Linked DNA regions of Mus musculus. The protein of the gene in region 1 interacts with the protein of each later gene in a biochemical or structural test. Links are inferred from orthologs where the notes say so. Each region holds a gene or a part of one and is shown in the gene's direction. Other genes may lie near its edges.

What was found. The genes of interacting proteins can lie anywhere in the genome.
Region 2: the proteins of Gadd45a (region 1) and Eef1a1 form a complex in vitro, tested with the Homo sapiens proteins (2 studies listed by BioGRID). The link is inferred for Mus musculus from reciprocal best matches to the Homo sapiens genes GADD45A and EEF1A1.

What each region holds. Positions count from the first base shown.
Region 1 is NC_000072.6:67,030,918-67,041,467, reverse strand, and holds Gadd45a (growth arrest and DNA damage-inducible protein GADD45 alpha), read left to right. Parts: upstream 1-4,060; 5' UTR 4,061-4,223; coding exon 4,224-4,267; intron 4,268-4,356; coding exon 4,357-4,458; intron 4,459-4,532; exon of another isoform or gene 4,533-4,552; coding exon 4,553-4,790; exon of another isoform or gene 4,791-4,869; intron 4,870-5,695; coding exon 5,696-5,809; 3' UTR 5,810-6,372; downstream 6,373-10,550. UniProt on the Homo sapiens protein: In T-cells, functions as a regulator of p38 MAPKs by inhibiting p88 phosphorylation and activity.
Region 2 is NC_000075.6:78,475,398-78,484,976, reverse strand, and holds Eef1a1 (elongation factor 1-alpha 1), read left to right. Parts: upstream 1-3,252; 5' UTR 3,253-3,338; intron 3,339-4,288; 5' UTR 4,289-4,322; coding exon 4,323-4,466; intron 4,467-4,556; coding exon 4,557-4,736; intron 4,737-4,828; coding exon 4,829-5,125; intron 5,126-5,202; coding exon 5,203-5,353; intron 5,354-5,442; coding exon 5,443-5,699; intron 5,700-5,784; coding exon 5,785-6,019; intron 6,020-6,118; coding exon 6,119-6,243; 3' UTR 6,244-6,524; downstream 6,525-9,579. UniProt on the Homo sapiens protein: Translation elongation factor that catalyzes the GTP-dependent binding of aminoacyl-tRNA (aa-tRNA) to the A-site of ribosomes during the elongation phase of protein synthesis.

The sequences.
Region 1 (10,550 bases):
ACAGGTTCTGTAAGAGAGCTGTCTAAACAAGCCATGGGAAGCAAGGCAGCAAGCAGCACTCTCCCGTGGGCTCTGCAGCAGCTCCTGCCTCCAGGCTCCTTCCTGATTTGAGTTCCTGCCTTGGCTTCCCCCCAGTGGACTGTGATTCAGGATACGTAAACCAAGGAAACCCTTTCCTTCCCAAGTTGCCATGGTGATTTTATCACAGCAAAAGAAACCCTATCTAAAGCAATATCTCTACATACTGGACTCGTTAGGTGGAATATAATCCAGGACTCTAATATAAAGCTGCAAGCAAGCAGGCGGGCTGAGTGCAATTCCTCCTTCCAACCATAATACTCACAGAAGACAATCACTGATGAAACATTCTAGGGAAATTCAGCAATGAGGTAACACAAGCTTGGCTGAGTCAGAGTGTGTGACATGAACAGTTTTTGAATACCAGATTTGGATAAAATGCCATTTTTTTAACAATAAGGCTAAACATAGCATTAAGTATAGTTTTTGAGGGATAAATACTATACTTTTGCTATGTTATACCCATTTTAAACTTCAAATAGCTGCCTTTAATGGGACACTATAGTCCTATGTTTCATCTGAATTGCATAAACAGTGCATGGTTCGACTCAGCTTCCATTCAGATGAGATGGGACGTTCAGCATAACTAGCTGATGACAGTGAATACCATTTTGTCCTAAAATCCAGTTGAAACATAGGTGTGATGGCGACTCTTGGTTGTCAACTTCATTCAGTACATCTGGAATTATCTAAAATTCAAAAACAGAGGGCACCCCAGTGAAGAAATTTTTGCTTAATTTGAAATAGGAAGATCCACTTCTAATCCAGATCCTGAGGCAGGAAAACACACTCCTTTAATATGGACCTTGAGGTGACAAGACACACTCCTTTAATACAGGTCTTGAGGTGGGAAAGGCACACCTTTTATCTGGGCCATACCTTGTGTGGGAAGCTTAGACATGGAAAAAGGAAGCTTTTGCTCATCGCCTGCTTGCTCTAGCCTTGCTAGCATGTCTATTCCTTCACTGCCATTAGAGCCTACTTTAGTGGGATCCCAGCACATTCAGACGACCAACTGAGACATCTAGCCTCAAGGACGGAACAACTTCTAGATTCTTGGACTTTTTGTTCATAGCCAGCCATTGTTGTATTAGTTGGACTACATACTGCCTGTAAGTCAACCTAATAAATCCCCTTTGTATATATGTATGTGTGTATATACATATGCATACATATATATTGATTTTATATGTTCCACTACTCTAAAGAACCCTGATTAATACAATGGACATACCAAGTAGATCATGAGGTCTTTGTAGAGAAAGGACCAGAAATTTTTTAGGGCTTATATTTTTGAAGTGATGTTAAAGGTGACTTTTCTGAGAATTCATGCACAGGACTGTAGGGTCATGAGGTGGTGATTAATTCTCAGATTCTTTTTAATTCATGACACCCACTGTACTACTGAATGTAGGGTGTTGAGGACACCAAGCTGATGAAGTCATAGTCTCTGCTGTCACATCATCTTCTAATTCTTTGTCAGCTGCATCCTTCCAGAGAACTTCTAAGAAATGTCTAATGGGTAGAGCCCTGGAGTTCTAGGGAACACAGTTCATTAGTCTCCAAATGGTGACTCGGAGTGGTTTGTGTCATTATGGTATTTTAAAGATGGTATTTTAGTGCCAGTTACCTGTATTGTTCCTGGAACAAAATTAAGAAAGGAAGCGTTTATTCCTGGGTACAGTTAGTCCATCATGGGGAAGGCTTGACAGCCAGAGCTAGAGGTGGTTGGTCACATGGCATCCTCAGTCAGGAATGAACCAAGAATGACCATGCTCAGTGTAGCTGTTTTCCTTTTTACATGCAGTGAAGACCCCGAGCCCATGGAATGGTTTTATCCATCCTAATCTAGATGACCCATCACAGTCACGCCCAGAGGCTTGTTTTAGTAATGGCTCTTGATCACCATTAAGGTAACGGTCACTGTTAACCATAGAAATTGAAGCCTAAACTTCAATATTGAGATTTTGCCCCTGATGCTGTTTTGTAGGGCTAGAGATCAAATTCTGAGCCTGGGCCTGGAACAAGCTAGGCAACTGCTCTACCACTGACCTAGAATCCCAGGCCCCCAATGGTAGAGAAATTCTCTCTCTCCTCTCCTCCCCTCCCCTCCCCTCCCCTCCCCTCCCCTCCCCTCCCCTCCCCTCCCCTCTCCGCTTTATTTACTTTTGAGTGCTCTAACTGCATGTACACCTCATGCCAGAAGAGGGCATCAGATCCCATTATAGATGATTGTGGGCCACATTTAGTTGCTGGGAATTGAACTCTGGACCTCTGGAAGGATAGCCAGTGTGCTTAACCACTGAGCCAACTCCCCAGTCCCAAGGGATTCTTTAACAAAGCATCGCCATTTAAAGCTTTAAGGCGTAAGTATGAGGTACACAGCACCCAGGGTAAGTCATACACTGACATTTGCTCCTTTACTCAACTTTTGTCTCTTGGGGACATCTCCAATAAGTGAACTAGAAAACCAACCTATAAATTATCCATTAAGTTAAGATTAAGAGAATTTGAAAATATTTTGTCCACAAGAATAAAAACTTGCCGGGTATGGTGGCGCACGCCTTTAATCCCAGCACTCGGGAGGCAGAGGCAGACGGATTTCTAAGTTCGAGGCCAGCCTGGTCTACAAAGTGAGTTCCAAGACAGTCAGGACTACACAGAGAAACCCTGTCTCGAAAAACCACCCCTCCCCCCGCAAAAAAAATCTTAAGGATAACTCACATGTACCTCTGCAAAATTTACTTCTGTAACTGTAAGCTACCCAGTGACCTCAATATTAGCACTGTTAAGAATGCAAGCATATGGGCTGCAATTTCACCACTCTCCGTGACTAGTAGGTTCAGGCAATGCTTTTGTATTTACTGAATAAGCTCATAAAACAAAGAGAGTTTTGAGCTATCCAGTAAAAGTTTGCATTAAAAATTGTTTTTACTTTGTAACTCCTGCTTGCAGTTACGAGGGTTTGCCTTCTACCTACAAGTTGCTATTATCTCAAAGGTGAAATTTGAGCACATGGCTAAAATGTACTACAGTTACAGCTTCATGATTCAGCTTCAGTAATTCAGAGTGAGCTCATAGACAGTAAAGGTGGTGTCATACTCTTCTGCCTGTGATGGGACGCTCAGGGAACATCGTGAGCACCTCGAATTTCCATGATGGCACCTCTGAATACCACAGAATTTCTCTCTTAGCTCTTACTTGATCAGAAGGAGCCTTCTTCAGGAAGGATTCTAAGAACGGTGAATTTGGCTCGTTAAACATGCGATCACCAGCTCCCCACCTTACATGGAGTAGGCAGAAATTTCACCAACTTTTTGTGGAAAAGATTCCAACTTGGTACTGTGCCACCACTACACACAAATGCGATTTTTTTTTTTTTTTTCTTCTCCCTGGAGTTTCAAATTCTCACAACCAACCAAAACCAAATCAAACCAGCCATCAGGGCACCAAAAGACTACTACTGGGAATAAGCAGGTTTACCTGAAACTTGCATATAAACACTGAAGCAAGCTTTGCCCGGCATGTCTGGACACTTAAAAATATGCTTACTAACAACAGCTAGACTGGAGTGCATTAATCCCTGGAAGTAAAATTTAAAAAGCAGCCCCTTAACACAAAGGGCACGAAACGACAATCAAAAGATGTCCACAACCAGAAAAACAATTGGCAGGCTGTTTCAGTCAGAGCTGAGGACACTTGAACCACTGCAAAGCCCTCCGCACCAGAAGGCTCCACAAACTACCTAGAGCTGGCTCAGGACCCCACCAACCGGGTTTCAGCACCACCTTCGTCCCGTGGGCTCCCTCCCGCGTAGCTCCGCCCCTTTCCGCTCAACTCTGCCTTGCTTTGGTGGAGCGAGGGTCTGGGTGTCAACGTCTGCTAATTTGCATAACCCAATGGCCTGACTGCATGCAAATGAAGCTGGACCTGGTTGGCTGAGGGCTAGCCCCATATCTCCGGAATCGGGCCCTTTGTCCTCCAGTGGCCCCGAGGCAGCAGTGCAGAGTTCCCCAGCGAGGCTAGGCGAGCAGCCGGCCGGCCGGAGCGGAGAAGGGAGGGTGGGAGCGAGCGCAGAGCCGGCGCCGCGCACTGTGGGGGCCAGGAGCAGCCCGCGCGCCGAGGGAGGGACTCGCACTTGCAATATGACTTTGGAGGAATTCTCGGCTGCAGAGCAGAAGACCGAAAGGTAAGTGTGCCTGCCGACTCGGTGGCCGCCGCCCCTCCCGCCTCGCGTCCGGGGACCCGGCTGACCCGCTCTCACCCTGCCGCCCGCAGGATGGACACGGTGGGCGATGCCCTGGAGGAAGTGCTCAGCAAGGCTCGGAGTCAGCGCACCATTACGGTCGGCGTGTACGAGGCTGCCAAGCTGCTCAACGTGTAAGTGGCCCGCGTTCCCCGCTCGCCCACCCACCCGCCTCTACCCCGCGCCCCCCTGAGCGTATGCAACTCACCGCTGCCCCGCTGCCCGCAGAGACCCCGATAACGTGGTACTGTGCCTGCTGGCTGCTGACGAAGACGACGACCGGGATGTGGCTCTGCAGATCCATTTCACCCTCATCCGTGCGTTCTGCTGCGAGAACGACATCAACATCCTGCGGGTCAGCAACCCGGGTCGGCTAGCTGAGCTGCTGCTACTGGAGAACGACGCGGGCCCGGCGGAGAGCGGGGGCGCCGCGCAGACCCCGGACCTGCACTGTGTGCTGGTGACGGTAAGAGACCCGGGGCTGCAGCCCAGAATCTGCTGGGGTGGACCTTGTCCGAGCTGAACGCTGATCTCGCGGGGGTTGTGATAGGGTACGGAGCGTGTCTAAGCTCGTGGGTGGCCTCCAGCGGCGGAAGATATCCCTGTGAGTCAGCAAGCTGCCCAGCTGCTACCTCTGCTTACCTCTGCACAACCTCGCGTGGCTAATTCTTTGAGCAGAACAGATTAGATAAAGCCAAATAAATTCCCGGTTTACCCTTCGTTAAGAAGTTAGCTTCATTCTTCATTTGCTGTCAAAGCTAAAGGTAGAAGTGGTGTAGGAGACAGACCTTATTAATTCCCTGGATATAGATAGATACTCTGAAGTGTACCGAGTGGAATTCTTTTCTTTGCTGCTCTTGAGTTTGTTTAAACGAGCTCCCTCCTCCCCACCGCTTAAAAATGTGTGGTGGGTTGATAGTGTTTTCAGAAAGAACCGTGCTGTCTAGGTCTTCTGGTTTTTTGTTTTTGTACTCTTTCTCTTCTGACTTGTGTAGGGAAGTGACTGCCTGGTTACTTGTTGCTGCCAGTAAAATGTGCTATTCATCGTCAGGGAAGATAAGAGTTCAGCAGCTGCCTGCCCTGCAGCCCTCACCGTGCACACAGCCTGAGAATGCTTTTCAGGAGTCTTTTACTTATGACCCACCAGGGTACATGCTTGGAAGGGAGGTCTTAAGAATGGTAACCTCATGCAGAATGGGGTAGTTAATATGCAAAACTCTGTGTAGTTCCGTGCACGTTACAGGTGTTTAGACTATGCTAGATGCTGTTTTTAACAGAATGTTCGGGGTTTGGCCCTTTCAAAAGTAGCACAATTAGTAGCAGAAGCTGATTATTTTCCGGGGAAGTAATTTTTTCAAAATCTGTTCACAGAACCCACATTCATCACAATGGAAGGATCCTGCCTTAAGTCAACTTATTTGTTTTTGCCGGGAAAGTCGCTACATGGATCAGTGGGTGCCCGTGATTAATCTCCCGGAACGGTGATGGCATCCGAATGGAAATAACTGAACCAAATTGCACTGAAGTTTTGAAATACCTTTGTAGTTACTCAAGCAGTCACTCCCCACGCTGATGCAAGGATTACAGAAACTGATGTCAAGGGGCCGAGTTCAACTGCACGAGGGCTCAGAGATGACTTTGCAGAGGGAGAGAGAGGTGAGCCTGAAGAAGGAAGCTGCGAGAAAAGAGAAATCCAAGGCAAAAGGGACAAAAACTACAAAGCACTGCAAGAAAGAAAACTGCTAATTTAGGATGGCCAGGTTACTTTCAAATAAGCCAAATATTGCTTTGTTGAAACTTTAAATGTATAGCAATAGTTTGGGTATTTTTTTTCTTTTTTTTTTTTGGTCTTTATGCCCTCAAATAAAAGGAAAGTAAAAGAGGATTAATCATATTTTCAAGCCACAGTTTAAATGTATTTTGATGAGATGTTAAATTCTCAGAAGTTTTATTATAAATCTTACTAAGTTATTTTATGATGTGAAAGGTTATTTATGATAAAGTTTTTGAAGCACATTATCTAAAATAAACTGGTATGGAATAATTGTGTCATTTCTCAACGTGTGGTTTGTGTTTTACAATATTGATTATTGGACATTCTATTGAAGCTTTGCTGTATTTTACACTAGGCAGGAAGATGGTGGGGGGGGGCGGTTGTAGAGGGTCGGGGTAAGGAAAAAGGGAATATGGCAAGATTCACCTTGCAAAGTCTAAATTACAGTGAATGACTTAAATGCTATAATTAATTGCATGCAAAACGTGGAAGCAGAGAGGAGGGTTACCAAAGCTGCTTGAAGATGAGTGAAGCTTTTACTGAGGAAAAAACATTTCATTGGAGGCATCAAAGATCACAGCCTGCAGAGAGACCTACGAGGGTGTCTCTGCCTGCCTCTGGTGTAGGCAGATAAGTGAGAGAGGGTTGGAAAGGTGGGGGTTCAGCTCAGATGCTGACAGGAGTTCTTGCATCACCATTATGTATTTGAGCTTCTTTCTGTGAACTTGCCACAGTCTGCAGAAGGAAGTGACCTGGTCAGTGTTGTAGGTAGATAACTTGGGGAGGTATGGGGTAGTAAATAGGGTGAGTGGCTGGCTATACAGTACCAGCGTAAGGGAGAACCGTGGCAAAGGGCAGGTTTTGTCAAGTTGTAGCCTCTTCCCAGAGAATTTCCCCTACTGCTGTGAGAGGTCTGATTATGTCAGGGAAGAAGTGTCAGAGGAAAAAGAAGAAGAAAAGACTTCAGTAGAAGAAGCCTTTCTACTGTCTGGTTAGAAAGCACCTGGTAATTAACTGTAGCTGGGAGGCAGAGGCAAGGGAAGCAAAGGTGTGTGCTGAAGACAAAGCCTGGCAGAGCTATAGTCTCCACTGTTTGCCCCTCTCCCTCCCCTCCTCCTCCCCCTCCCTCCCTCTCTCTTCTCCTCTCTCTCTGGAGCTCTCTCTTTCTCTATTTCCCTCCCTCCCTCCCTCCCTCCCTCCCTCCCTCCCTCCCTCCCTTCCTCTCTGGAACTCCTTGGGCCCCTACTGTTTGCCAGCCTTCTTGTGACCATCAGGGAGAGCAGAAGAAACCACAAAACCCTTAAGCTTCTGCCCATCTTGTATAGGCCTATGAGCCTTCTGCTTTTCTACTCTTAGGAATGTGGATTTCTAGGCCTTATTTAGTCTTTGCTTGAAGACAATGTGTAATCCCAAACAACTGGAATAACAACATTTACTTTTATATTAGCAGGAGATTTGAGAGCAATTCCTTTCGAGCAAGCCCTTTAGCCTTCCCACTAGCGGCTTGTTCGGTTTCCACAACTGTTGTATTTCATGAACTAAGTTAAACCAAGTAGGACACGTGGAGAAAAGCAGCTGTTTGCTGGAAAGCACATGAGTGGCAGTCAGGTCTCCACCAGCACCCCCACCATTCATTCATGTGTAAAATGAAGAGCACATTACCCAGCCTACAGAGTTGCCTTTTATAGCTTTGTCATCTCTTGGAAGGATGAACTTAATATCTGGTCCACTGATGTATCCATACATTAGATGATGAGGTAATATTTGTTTAATAAATGAATGATTAGAAATCATTATGAACCCGAGGCTGTAGCTTCAGTGATAGATAGAGCATGTACGAGATCCTGCAATATCTCTGGCTCTGGGGAAATAATCACTACCTGGTACATGGTATTTGCTCGGATCATAGCAACAGGAGAATATTGAAGGCCTTACAGAGAGTTGTTACTTATACATATTATTAAAAAGGAGTTTGAGGCCGGGCGTGGTGGCGCACGCCTTTAATCCCAGCACTCGGGAGGCAGAGGCAGGAGGATTTCTGAGTTCGAGGCCAGCCTGGTCTACAGAGTGAGTTCCAGGACAGCCAGGGCTACACAGAGAAACCCTGTCTCGAAAAACCAAAAAAAAAAAAAAAAAGAAAAAGAAAAAAAAAAAAAGGAAAAAAAAAAAAAAGGAGTTTGAGTCATTTAACCCCAGTGCTTAGTGAGATGAAGTAGTGGGATAAAACCTTCAGATTACTCCATCTCTTGAAAAGCTCAACAATAAGTAGAGTTAGGTATTCTTTTGATTTTTGTTTTGTTGTTCTTTCATAAGATAACTCAAACATAAGTTAAAACAAATTATGAGCTGTTGGCTCAGTAGGTAGTTGCCACCGAAGCCTGACAACCTGAGTTTGATCTTGGAAACCCAAGGGAGAAGAGACTTGACCTCTTCAACTTGTCCTCTGACCACAGAAGTGCATGACATGTGCACATGCACCTATACACATACACACACACACACACACATACATACACACACAAACACACACACACACACACACACACACATACACACAAACACACATACTTATACACACATACACACACATACATACACACACATACACATACATACACACACAAACACACACACACATACATACACACAAACACACATACTTACACACACATACATACACACACATACACACAAACACACACATACATACACACATATACACACACATACACACACATACACACAAACACACATACATACACACACATACACACACATACATACACACACATACACACAAACCCACACATACATACACACACATACACACATACACAAAAACACATACAACACACACACACACACACACCATCACCACACCACACCACATTAATAAAATTCATAAAAAGCTAAATCTATGAAAGAGTTAAGTATAAATAAAGTATGCCTCTAACTTGTGCCAATATTTAGTTAATTGCTTTAGAAATTATTAAACAAGGTTGGGGCAGGAGGATTACTTTGAGTTTAAGGCCACTAGGTTACCTAGTACCAACCCACCCTGGTATCCTCTTAAAAACACAAAAGCAAGCAACTGACTTCCTTACATGCAACAAGAACAAAGACTTTACACACCTACTGAGATGTGCTGTTTGCTGAAAAGTGGAAAATACCTATTTTTCCATAGGTGACTTCATAGATTCAGTATTGCTTCTGCTTTGTCTGGCTAGTCTGGGTCTTTAGTATGTTAAAGCTCCGTAATGAAAAGAGTCCATGAGAGTAACCTTTTATAATAAACTATTTTGCAAGCTAAAATAAAAGGTGCTATTTGTAGGAAGCTAGAAACTTGTAGAGTTGCCTTATGACCTTACTGTAACCTTCATCCTTAAAAAAAAATTGTATTCTTGCCATATAGGAAAAGGTTTGTTTTCTTCAAGAACAAAACTTGATAGCACTGATGCAACACAAAGCTGAATCCCTCACACAAAAGCTGAATTTTTCTTTTCCTTTAAACAATTCGTTCATAAACATAAGAACTTGGTTGAAGTTGTACTTACGAAACTACCAAGAGCTCTTTAGTGAATGTTTACTGTGGTCATTAGAATTGTCTAAAAAAGATCCTTTGGCCTCAGGGAGCTCACAGTCTAGTGAAACAGAAAGCACATTGATAGGGCCTAAAGTAGAGTCCAGCAACAAAAGGTTTAAAGGACTATTGTGGAAGTTTGAAGGGTAGAAGTTTCCTGAGGGCATATAGGACAGAATGGAGGAAAAGGTTGTAAGTTCTTTGATCGGAGTTAGCGTTTCATTTTGCAAACACCATAAAAATGCTTGGCTGATGGATTATATCCAATTCTGCTAGATGCTGCAGAGACTAGAGATGTAGCCTATAGGACCTCTTGGCACTGAGAAGTTTATAATTTGTAAGAAAGTCAAATAAGTTCCTACCAGAGATTTACCGGATGTCTGTCATGTACAGAGTACTGTGTACCAGGGCTATAAAAGCAGCAGTAATTTACCTTCAAGGATGCGCCTAGTTTGGTGCGTGTGTGGTCGTGTGTGTGTGTTTGTATGTGTATGTCCCCCTATCTTGACACTGGGTGAATAGAGAGGTGCCCAACACCTAAGGATTTCTGAGGCTGGAGACAGGTCCCTAAAGTTGACCCATTTGCCAGGGAAAGTGAAGTGCTTTGTTGCAGAAGGAGCTCAGGTGATGGGGTTGACATTCTTCTTAATGAAGGAGCTCCTGGCATACTTGGAGCTAGCTCCCAGGACATACCAAGATAGCTTCGTGCCAAGTACCTTACCAACTACCATTCGCCAGCACTCACAACAGTCCTGTGGCAGTGGGTTCTGTTACTGTCCTCATGCGGCAAAGGAAAAGAGACTAATTTGGCCAGGAGCAAATTGTTAATGAGTGGCACAACACATCATGTCTACTGATAGAAGGTGATGGGG
Region 2 (9,579 bases), on another chromosome or scaffold:
AGGTAAGACCTGCTGTTCTTATAGAGGACAGGGGTTCAGTTCTCAGCATGCAGATCAGGCAGCTTACAACCATCCTAGTTCTAGAGGCCTAACACCCTGACACTCCCCCCTCCCCCGCCCCCCAGGGAGGGCACCTGGAATGCACACAGTGCATAGACACACGTGCAGGCAAAACGTCCACATATATAAAATAAAAAAATGAAAACAAATCCTCTAAACTTTCAGTCTTTAATCTTTTGATTCAAACCCTCAGGTCATAAAATAATAATTTCTTTACATTGTCAAAAATGTGCCATTCCTGCTAAAAAAAATATGCAGGGTTGCCAGGCTTGGTGGTGTAGGCCTTTAATCCCAGCACAGGGGCGGCAGAGGCCGGCAGATCCCAGTGAATTCGAGGCTGGCCTGGTCTACAAAGTGAGTTCCAGGACAGCCAGGGATGTTACATAGAGAAACTTTGTCTTGAAAACTAAAGAAGACAAAATAAAAGATGTGTACTATTCTATTACCCCAATAATATATAAGCCCAAACCATTGGAAGCATATATTGCTAAAGCAAGCATGGAAAATAATATCTCGATAATATCTCGTGTGGGACAGATACCACTACTGTATACACTAATGTATCCCACCGCTGACTGTGGGAAACAAGCTGCAAAGAGGAGTCTCTAGCCAGTGTCTCCAAGGAAATAAATGAGAGAGAGAGCAGAGAGTGGGTTCTGTTGCTGCCGATGGGTTTTCGAGTATTTCTTACAATTTCTCCTGTTACAAATAGGCAGTAGGGTATCAAGATAATTCTATCCTGTATGCATATGACTGGCTAGGGACCCCAGAAAAATTCTGTGTGGAAAAAAAGAATTTGTGAAATGAGAGAGGCTAATGTGGACATTACAGAAAAGGCTTTTGTGTGCCTAGCACGCATAGAATAGATCCTGTGTGTGATCCTTTAACAACCTCATTGACCAGAAAAAGAAAAGGCTTCTGTGGATAGCAAATGATTAGTTATATGTATATACTTGGAGGGAAACGTTGTCCTGGATTCTTTGATTACAATTACCAGTGTTAGATGAAAATGAAGCTAGAAGCCACCTGATGAGTGAGAAAATCTGCCTTTAGGAAGTTATAAGGATCTGTAAACTAAGAATTAGGAAGGCTATTACAGGGTCTTTGTTTCTCACTTAGGCAAGAAAAGAAGCCTGGGGTGGGGGTGGGAGGGCTGTGGGGAGGATGCGGGGTGGGGGGGCACACCTGAGATCCCAGTACTTGAGAAGTGGAGCTAGGAAGATTAGAAATTGAAGGCCAGCAGGGCATGGTGGTGCATACCTTTAATCCCAGCACTCGGGAGGCAGAGGCAGGCGGATTTCTGAGTTCGAGGCCAGCCTGGTCTACAAAGTGAGCTCTAGGACAGCCAGGGCTACACAGAGAAACCCTGTCTCGAAAAACCAAAAAAAAAAAAAAAAAATTGAAGGCCAGCCTCAGCAACATGAGTTTGAGGCCAGCCTGAGCTACATCAAGTTCTGTTTCAAACAAAAACAAAAGTAGGACATGAAATGGCTCTCTGGGTACAGGCGTTTGCTGCAAAGCCTGACTGAGTTAGATCCCATAGGTCCACGTAGTTGAGGGGCAAACCTGCCCCACGAAAGGTGGCCTCTGGCCTCTGGCCTCCGCACAGGGTGATGTGGCACACGCATTCACACACACTAAATAAATACCACTTTTAAAAAAAAGTTAAAAAACAACAGTTTGGGATGTGAAAAATAGTTGAAAACTAGAACTAGACAAGAAATGAGAAGCATCATGTAAATTTGCTTTGAACTGGTTCCAAATTGTTTTATATTTAAGTTTTTCCCTTGACTGTGGAACTCTTCCCCAGAAACAAATAGTTCCTTTGCAAATCCTGTGTGTTTTTGTGAACACTAGACAGAGGCCCTCAAATGCTCCTAGTAAGGTTGGTGCAAGAACATCAAATGTTTGTAACTGGGAAGTGATGTTGTACACCTGGGAGAGGAGATCCAATGATGGATAATCAGATAGGATATCTTTGAGCTAGGAACTGTAACTTGGTGATAGACACCCTAGGGTTCCATCTCCAGCACCCCATATCCCATTACAAAATAATTCTTTTTCCATCTCTAGCATTAAAAAACAAAACAAAGAAGTTCTTCTTTCCTCTGAGAAACACTTCTGTGTGCCTGCTCTGAGAGGCATTTAAAAATGGCCAGGGCTTTAATCCCAGCAGGTCCAGGTCGGATTCCTGTGAATTTGAAGTCAGCCTGGTCTACTACCTATTCCAGGGCAGCCAGGGCTAAAAAAGAGAGACCTTGTCTCAATAACAAAACAATGCTGGTATGATCGCTAGAATTGCAGCAAAGAAAGGGATGTAACTAACAAGGCAAGCCATTTTTGAGAAGCAGTGATTTCACAAGTGTTAGGGATGGGCGCTGGGAGATTGCTGATGCTGGTATTTAGATGAGACCATGTGGGGTGGATTAGATTATTTTCAGGTTTCTCATGTTCAATCAAATGGCTGTACATACACATGTACACATACAATCTTTTTAGTGTAACAAACCTAGAATCAAAGTAAAGCTAACTGTAGGATTGAAGCATATTCTGAACTGAACCCTTAGGGGTGTGAAGGCCGCTTCAGGTTTCCAGAGAATCAACCGGCATTGGATGGAATAAACCAAGGGGCCAGCCCAGGGGCAGATCGGTCGAGCTCTCCGCTACTGAGCTAAGCCCTTGGGTTCTAGAGCCGGGAAGGGTCCCCAACATTGTGTTCCTCTCCCAGCCAGGAGAGCATGGGCTGCGGGAGGCGAACAGAAGGATAGCGGGGCTGACGTCGGGAGGTGGCCTCCGTGGGAAGGGACACCCGGATCTTGACACAGCCTTGGCAGCGGAGTAAGGAAGAGTAGGGATAGATTCTGGCCGCCCTCTTGGCCAGCTTCTCGCCGCCCCACCCTCCGCTAGGGCCAAGAGTAATTCATACAAAAGGAGGGATCGCCTTCGCCTGGGGAAGTCCCAGGGACCGTCGCTAAATTCTCATAACCCATAATCCCGGTACCCGCCCCACCACAGTGCGAGGAGCATGCGCTCAGGGCTGAGCGCGGGGAGAGCAGAGCACACAAGCTCATAGACCCTGGTCGTGGGGGGAGGGGCGCACTGAGCGGGGGGGGGGGGGGTGATGGGGGGGAGGACCGGGGAGCTGGCGCGGGGCAAACTGGGAAAGCGGTGTCGTGTGCTGGCTCCGCCCTCTTCCCGAGGGTGGGGGAGAACGGTATATAAGTGCGGCAGTCGCCTTGGACGTTCTTTTTCGCAACGGGTTTGCCGTCAGAACGCAGGTGAGGGGCGGGTGTGGCTTCCGCGGGCCGCCGAGCTGGAGGTCCTGCTCCGAGCGGGCCGGGCCCCGCTGTCGTCGGCGGGGATTAGCTGCGAGCATTCCCGCTTCGAGTTGCGGGCGGCGCGGGAGGCAGAGTGCGAGGCCTAGCGGCAACCCCGTAGCCTCGCCTCGTGTCCGGCTTGAGGCCTAGCGTGGTGTCCGCGCCGCCGCCGCGTGCTACTCCGGCCGCACTCTGGTCTTTTTTTTTTTGTTGTTGTTGTTGCCCTGCTGCCTTCGATTGCCGTTCAGCAATAGGGGCTAACAAAGGGAGGGTGCGGGGCTTGCTCGCCCGGAGCCCGGAGAGGTCATGGTTGGGGAGGAATGGAGGGACAGGAGTGGCGGCTGGGGCCCGCCCGCCTTCGGAGCACATGTCCGACGCCACCTGGATGGGGCGAGGCCTGGGGTTTTTCCCGAAGCAACCAGGCTGGGGTTAGCGTGCCGAGGCCATGTGGCCCCAGCACCCGGCACGATCTGGCTTGGCGGCGCCGCGTTGCCCTGCCTCCCTAACTAGGGTGAGGCCATCCCGTCCGGCACCAGTTGCGTGCGTGGAAAGATGGCCGCTCCCGGGCCCTGTTGCAAGGAGCTCAAAATGGAGGACGCGGCAGCCCGGTGGAGCGGGCGGGTGAGTCACCCACACAAAGGAAGAGGGCCTGGTCCCTCACCGGCTGCTGCTTCCTGTGACCCCGTGGTCCTATCGGCCGCAATAGTCACCTCGGGCTTTTGAGCACGGCTAGTCGCGGCGGGGGGAGGGGATGTAATGGCGTTGGAGTTTGTTCACATTTGGTGGGTGGAGACTAGTCAGGCCAGCCTGGCGCTGGAAGTCATTTTTGGAATTTGTCCCCTTGAGTTTTGAGCGGAGCTAATTCTCGGGCTTCTTAGCGGTTCAAAGGTATCTTTTAAACCCTTTTTTAGGTGTTGTGAAAACCACCGCTAATTCAAAGCAAAAATGGGAAAGGAAAAGACTCACATCAACATCGTCGTAATCGGACACGTAGATTCCGGCAAGTCCACCACAACCGGCCACCTGATCTACAAATGTGGTGGAATCGACAAGCGAACCATCGAAAAGTTTGAGAAGGAGGCTGCTGAGGCAAGTATAAGGCAAAAGGAGGGATGGGAATTCTTTAAGCAGGGAGTAGAACCTAGGTCTTGGGTGTACTAATTAGAAGTCACTTTGCAGATGGGAAAGGGCTCCTTCAAGTACGCCTGGGTCTTAGACAAACTGAAAGCTGAGCGTGAGCGTGGTATCACTATTGACATCTCCCTGTGGAAATTCGAGACCAGCAAATACTATGTGACCATCATTGATGCCCCAGGACACAGAGACTTCATCAAAAACATGATTACAGGCACATCCCAGGTGTGTAAAATTTACCCATTCCTGACTCAGGATATTTTTTAGTGGGGTGCTTTCTCTGAGATAATGGTATATGATTGTCTTGTTTCTTACAGGCTGACTGTGCTGTCCTGATTGTTGCTGCTGGTGTTGGTGAATTTGAAGCTGGTATCTCCAAGAACGGGCAGACCCGCGAGCATGCTCTTCTGGCTTACACCCTGGGTGTGAAACAGCTGATTGTTGGTGTCAACAAAATGGATTCCACCGAGCCACCATACAGTCAGAAGAGATACGAGGAAATCGTTAAGGAAGTCAGCACCTACATTAAGAAAATTGGCTACAACCCTGACACAGTAGCATTTGTGCCAATTTCTGGTTGGAATGGTGACAACATGCTGGAGCCAAGTGCTAATGTAAGTGACTTTTAAGGTAGTTGAATGGAGAAAGCCGCAATAAGTAAGGAGGTTATAATTGACTGCCTGTGTTTTAGATGCCTTGGTTCAAGGGATGGAAAGTCACCCGCAAAGATGGCAGTGCCAGTGGCACCACGCTGCTGGAAGCTTTGGATTGTATCCTACCACCAACTCGTCCAACTGACAAGCCCCTGCGACTGCCCCTCCAGGATGTCTATAAAATTGGAGGTAAGTAGAATATTAAGTAGAATGTTGACGTGAATTTGAAGTCTTATGTTTTGTGTATTAAATACTTATACAAAACAATACTATTTTAGGCATTGGCACTGTCCCTGTGGGCCGAGTGGAGACTGGTGTTCTCAAGCCTGGCATGGTGGTTACCTTTGCTCCAGTCAATGTAACAACTGAAGTCAAGTCTGTTGAAATGCACCATGAAGCTTTGAGTGAAGCTCTTCCTGGGGACAATGTGGGCTTCAATGTAAAGAACGTGTCGGTCAAAGATGTTAGACGAGGCAATGTTGCTGGTGACAGCAAAAACGACCCACCAATGGAAGCAGCTGGCTTCACTGCTCAGGTGACACATTTTTAAGATAGGTGGCTAGATTGGTTGTGTGTGCAGAATCACAAGGCAAGACTTAAATACACGCTGTTTTTCTTAGGTGATTATCCTGAACCATCCAGGCCAAATCAGTGCTGGCTACGCTCCTGTTCTGGATTGTCACACAGCCCACATAGCATGCAAGTTTGCTGAGCTTAAAGAAAAGATCGATCGTCGTTCTGGTAAGAAGCTGGAAGATGGCCCCAAGTTCCTGAAGTCTGGCGATGCTGCCATTGTTGATATGGTCCCTGGCAAGCCCATGTGTGTTGAGAGCTTCTCTGACTACCCTCCACTTGGTAAGCCTGATCTGAGTCTGCTACACTGAACATCAAGTTTGTAATAGGAAATGTTGCTTGCATAGCAAAGATACTGATAAATGGCATTTTTCTATATAGGTCGCTTTGCTGTTCGTGACATGAGGCAGACAGTTGCTGTGGGTGTCATCAAAGCTGTGGACAAGAAGGCTGCTGGAGCTGGCAAAGTCACCAAGTCTGCCCAGAAAGCTCAGAAGGCTAAATGAATATTACCCCTAACACCTGCCACCCCAGTCTTAATCAGTGGTGGAAGAACGGTCTCAGAACTGTTTGTCTCAATTGGCCATTTAAGTTTAATAGTAAAAGACTGGTTAATGATAACAATGCATCGTAAAACCTTCAGAAGGAAAGAATGTTGTGGACCATTTTTTTTGTGTGTGGCAGTTTTAAGTTATTAGTTTTCAAAATCAGTACTTTTTAATGGAAACAACTTGACCAAAAATCTGTCACAGAATTTTGAGACCATTAAAACAAGTTTAATGAGAAATCTGTGTTGGTCAATGCTGAAAGTTAACTGACTGTATACAACAAAGGTACTGGGGTCCCCATGGTATGTTCTTAGGGATTGAGTTCTGGTTGTCTGGGTCTGCCCAGAACTGAGCTATAAACAGGGCTGATTTGGGTTAACTTCAAATCTTACTGGTGAGGACAAAGTAATTTTGCTGTATCAACCCAAGGTGTGGTATAGTTGGGCAGACTATACCTATACCCCAATCTGTCTGGATCTGCATGCAGTAGGTCAGACTTGGGTGTGACAGCTAAGTTTGATTTAGGCAGCATTGGAGTATGCTACCACATAGGATTACTGAGTGTGCTTTGTGAATATTGGAAATGAAGCAAGGTTGGACAATTACTTGAGCATTTCCTTCCACAATTACACAGGAGAGAACCTTAACTAAAAAGACCAATCTTGAATGAATAGGTGAGAACGAAGAGGCTAAGCAAAAGGGATTTTCTAAGATGAGCTTTTGCAAAACAAGCTGATGGTAGGGTGGTAGGAATACCTTCAATAATAAGGTAAAAGCTGTTCAGTATTTATACTGAGATTTTGGTTACAGTGACTGTACTTGTTGCCAGAACATGTAATTTGAAATAAGTTTCAAAACTGAGGCATGTTAGCCTGACTTTGGCAGAACAAACATGGGCTAGTCCCTGGAAGTGGATTGGCAAGACTGCATAGGATATGTCATGAAGTCCATGAGATGAAAACAGGTGGCCTAAGTTTAGATAATCTAGACTCAGAAAAGTGATGTGTAATAACCCCTTTGATATGGCAAAAACATCCAATGTGTCATCTTTACCCTTAGAGACTGGATAAAATTCTAGTGCTTGTGGGATTAAGGGTTGCTGTTGCTGCAAACTCTTTACTAAAGGCTTGTCAGTTCCTTAGTTGAGGTTATTTCAAGTAGGACTGGTTAAAATGGATTGCTAATAGTGAAATAGCTTAAGTAAGCTGTTAGACCCTAAATAAGAATCAAGACCTACCTGGGAAATTGATAGCAAGTGTCTGCTGGATACAAACACCGTTTTTCAAACCTGCACACTTACGTGTATAAGTGGAGTAGCACCATCTACTGGTGCTTTGAAGACAAAACATTCAGAATAAAAGCATGTTTCTGGGGATGGAATTCAGGGCCAAAGGTTTGGTAGGCAAGCCTTCCACCACGTGAGCTACATAGGTAGTCTTTAGTCTTGATTAAAATCAAACACGTGAAAGCTAAGTGCTCTAAAAGGCTAGCTGTTTAGATGTTATATGACTTTAGTGTGGACTTAGTGAAAATTTCCCCCGGTTTCTGGCACCCACATGATTTACAACAGTTCTAGTGGCCTGTCTGTACCAGGTCCATATACAGTACCCATGTAGGCAAAATCTTGAACTCTTTTAAAACATGTTTTTTAAAACATTTGGGCTTTAATGTGGGAGATAAAGGCTCCACATGGATAAGGCCAGTTGCTACTAATGAGTAGGGTTTAAAGTCAGTGCAGTCTCAGTCTGGGTTGCATAAGGGCTAGGGAGTCTTGACATCCTTAGAAATAAAAGTAAATGAAGGCAGGCTGGGCTTGAAAGGCTGGCGAGACAGTCTAGTCCCTAGATGCACATAGCAGAACATCCCTCAAGTTGTCCTTTGTCCAAAGGCACATGGCTCTTAAAATACTCTTGAGAATGCTGCCCCCACACTCCCTTATCTTGCAGTCAGGCTAGCCTCTGGGTCTAAATGAACCTCTTGGCAGTTCTTGGGAAAGGTACTGGGTGAACCTAGGGCCTTTGCATATGGTTGGAAGATACACTCCCACTGAGCAGTGATCCTCATTCCTTCAAAAGAATTGAGAGGCTCAGGCAGGCCTTGAACTTGTGATCTTTCTATCACAGCCCCCCTGAGAATGGAATTAGAAGCTTACTAGTAGGTTTGGCTCAATTTGAGTTTTGGAAAACTTGACTTACAAGGCATTTTTCTGAGCTACAGTTTTGTCTATCCCTGGATGTCCTGGAACTTACTCTGTAGACTAGGTTGGCCTGGAAATCCGAAATCTACCTGCCCGTGCTTCCCAAGGCTTGGACTAAAAGCATGTGCCACCACACCAACTAAAAAGCCAATTTGTTATCTAAAAAAACAATTTAAAAAAAAAAAGATTTATTTATTATATGTAAGTACACTGTAGCTGTCTCAGACACACCAGAAGAGGGCATCTGATCTCATTACAGATGGTTGTGAGCCACCATGTGGTTGCTGGGATTTGAACTCAGGACCTTCAGAAGAGCAATCAGTGCTCTTAACCGTTGAGCCATCTCATCAGCCCCGTTTTTTTCTTTCTTGAGAGAGGGTCTTGAACAGTCTACACTGGCTTTGAATTTGCTACGTAGGCAAGACTGATACATACCACCATGTACAGCGGAGTTTTATGAAAATTTGCCTGGGGTGCTTTATTGTAGTCTTGGATTTTTCAGAAGTTGAGGCAGGAGGATCATTTGAGGATAGGGATTTGAGGCCAGCTTGGACAAAATGACTTTTTTTTTTTTTTTTTTAAAGAATTATATATGTGGGGCTGGTGAGATGGCTCAGTGGGTAAGAGCACCTGACTGCTCTTCCGAAGGTCCAGAGTTCAAATCCCAGCAACACATGGTGGCTCACAACCATCTGTAACAAGATCTGACTCCCTCTTCTGGTGTGTCTGAAGACAGCTACAGTGTACTTACATATAATAATAAAATAAATCTAAAAAAAAAAAAAGAATTATATATGTGAGTATACTGTTGCTGTCTTTAGACACATCAGTAGAGGGCATAGGATCCTATTATAGATGGTTGGACCTCTGGAAGAAAAGTCGGTGCTCTTAACCGCTGAGCCATCTCCCCAGCCCTGTTTTTGTTTTAATTTACTCTTATGCATTGAGAACTAAGTAGGCAAATTAATATGGCCTGTGTTTGAAATGCATTTTATGAAAACAAGGGTGCAAGCTAACATCAAATATGGCCTTAGATGTGTTCTAAGCCATTATGTTCACCACTTGGGGGTTGTTGGTTGTACTGTGAGAGGAGTAAA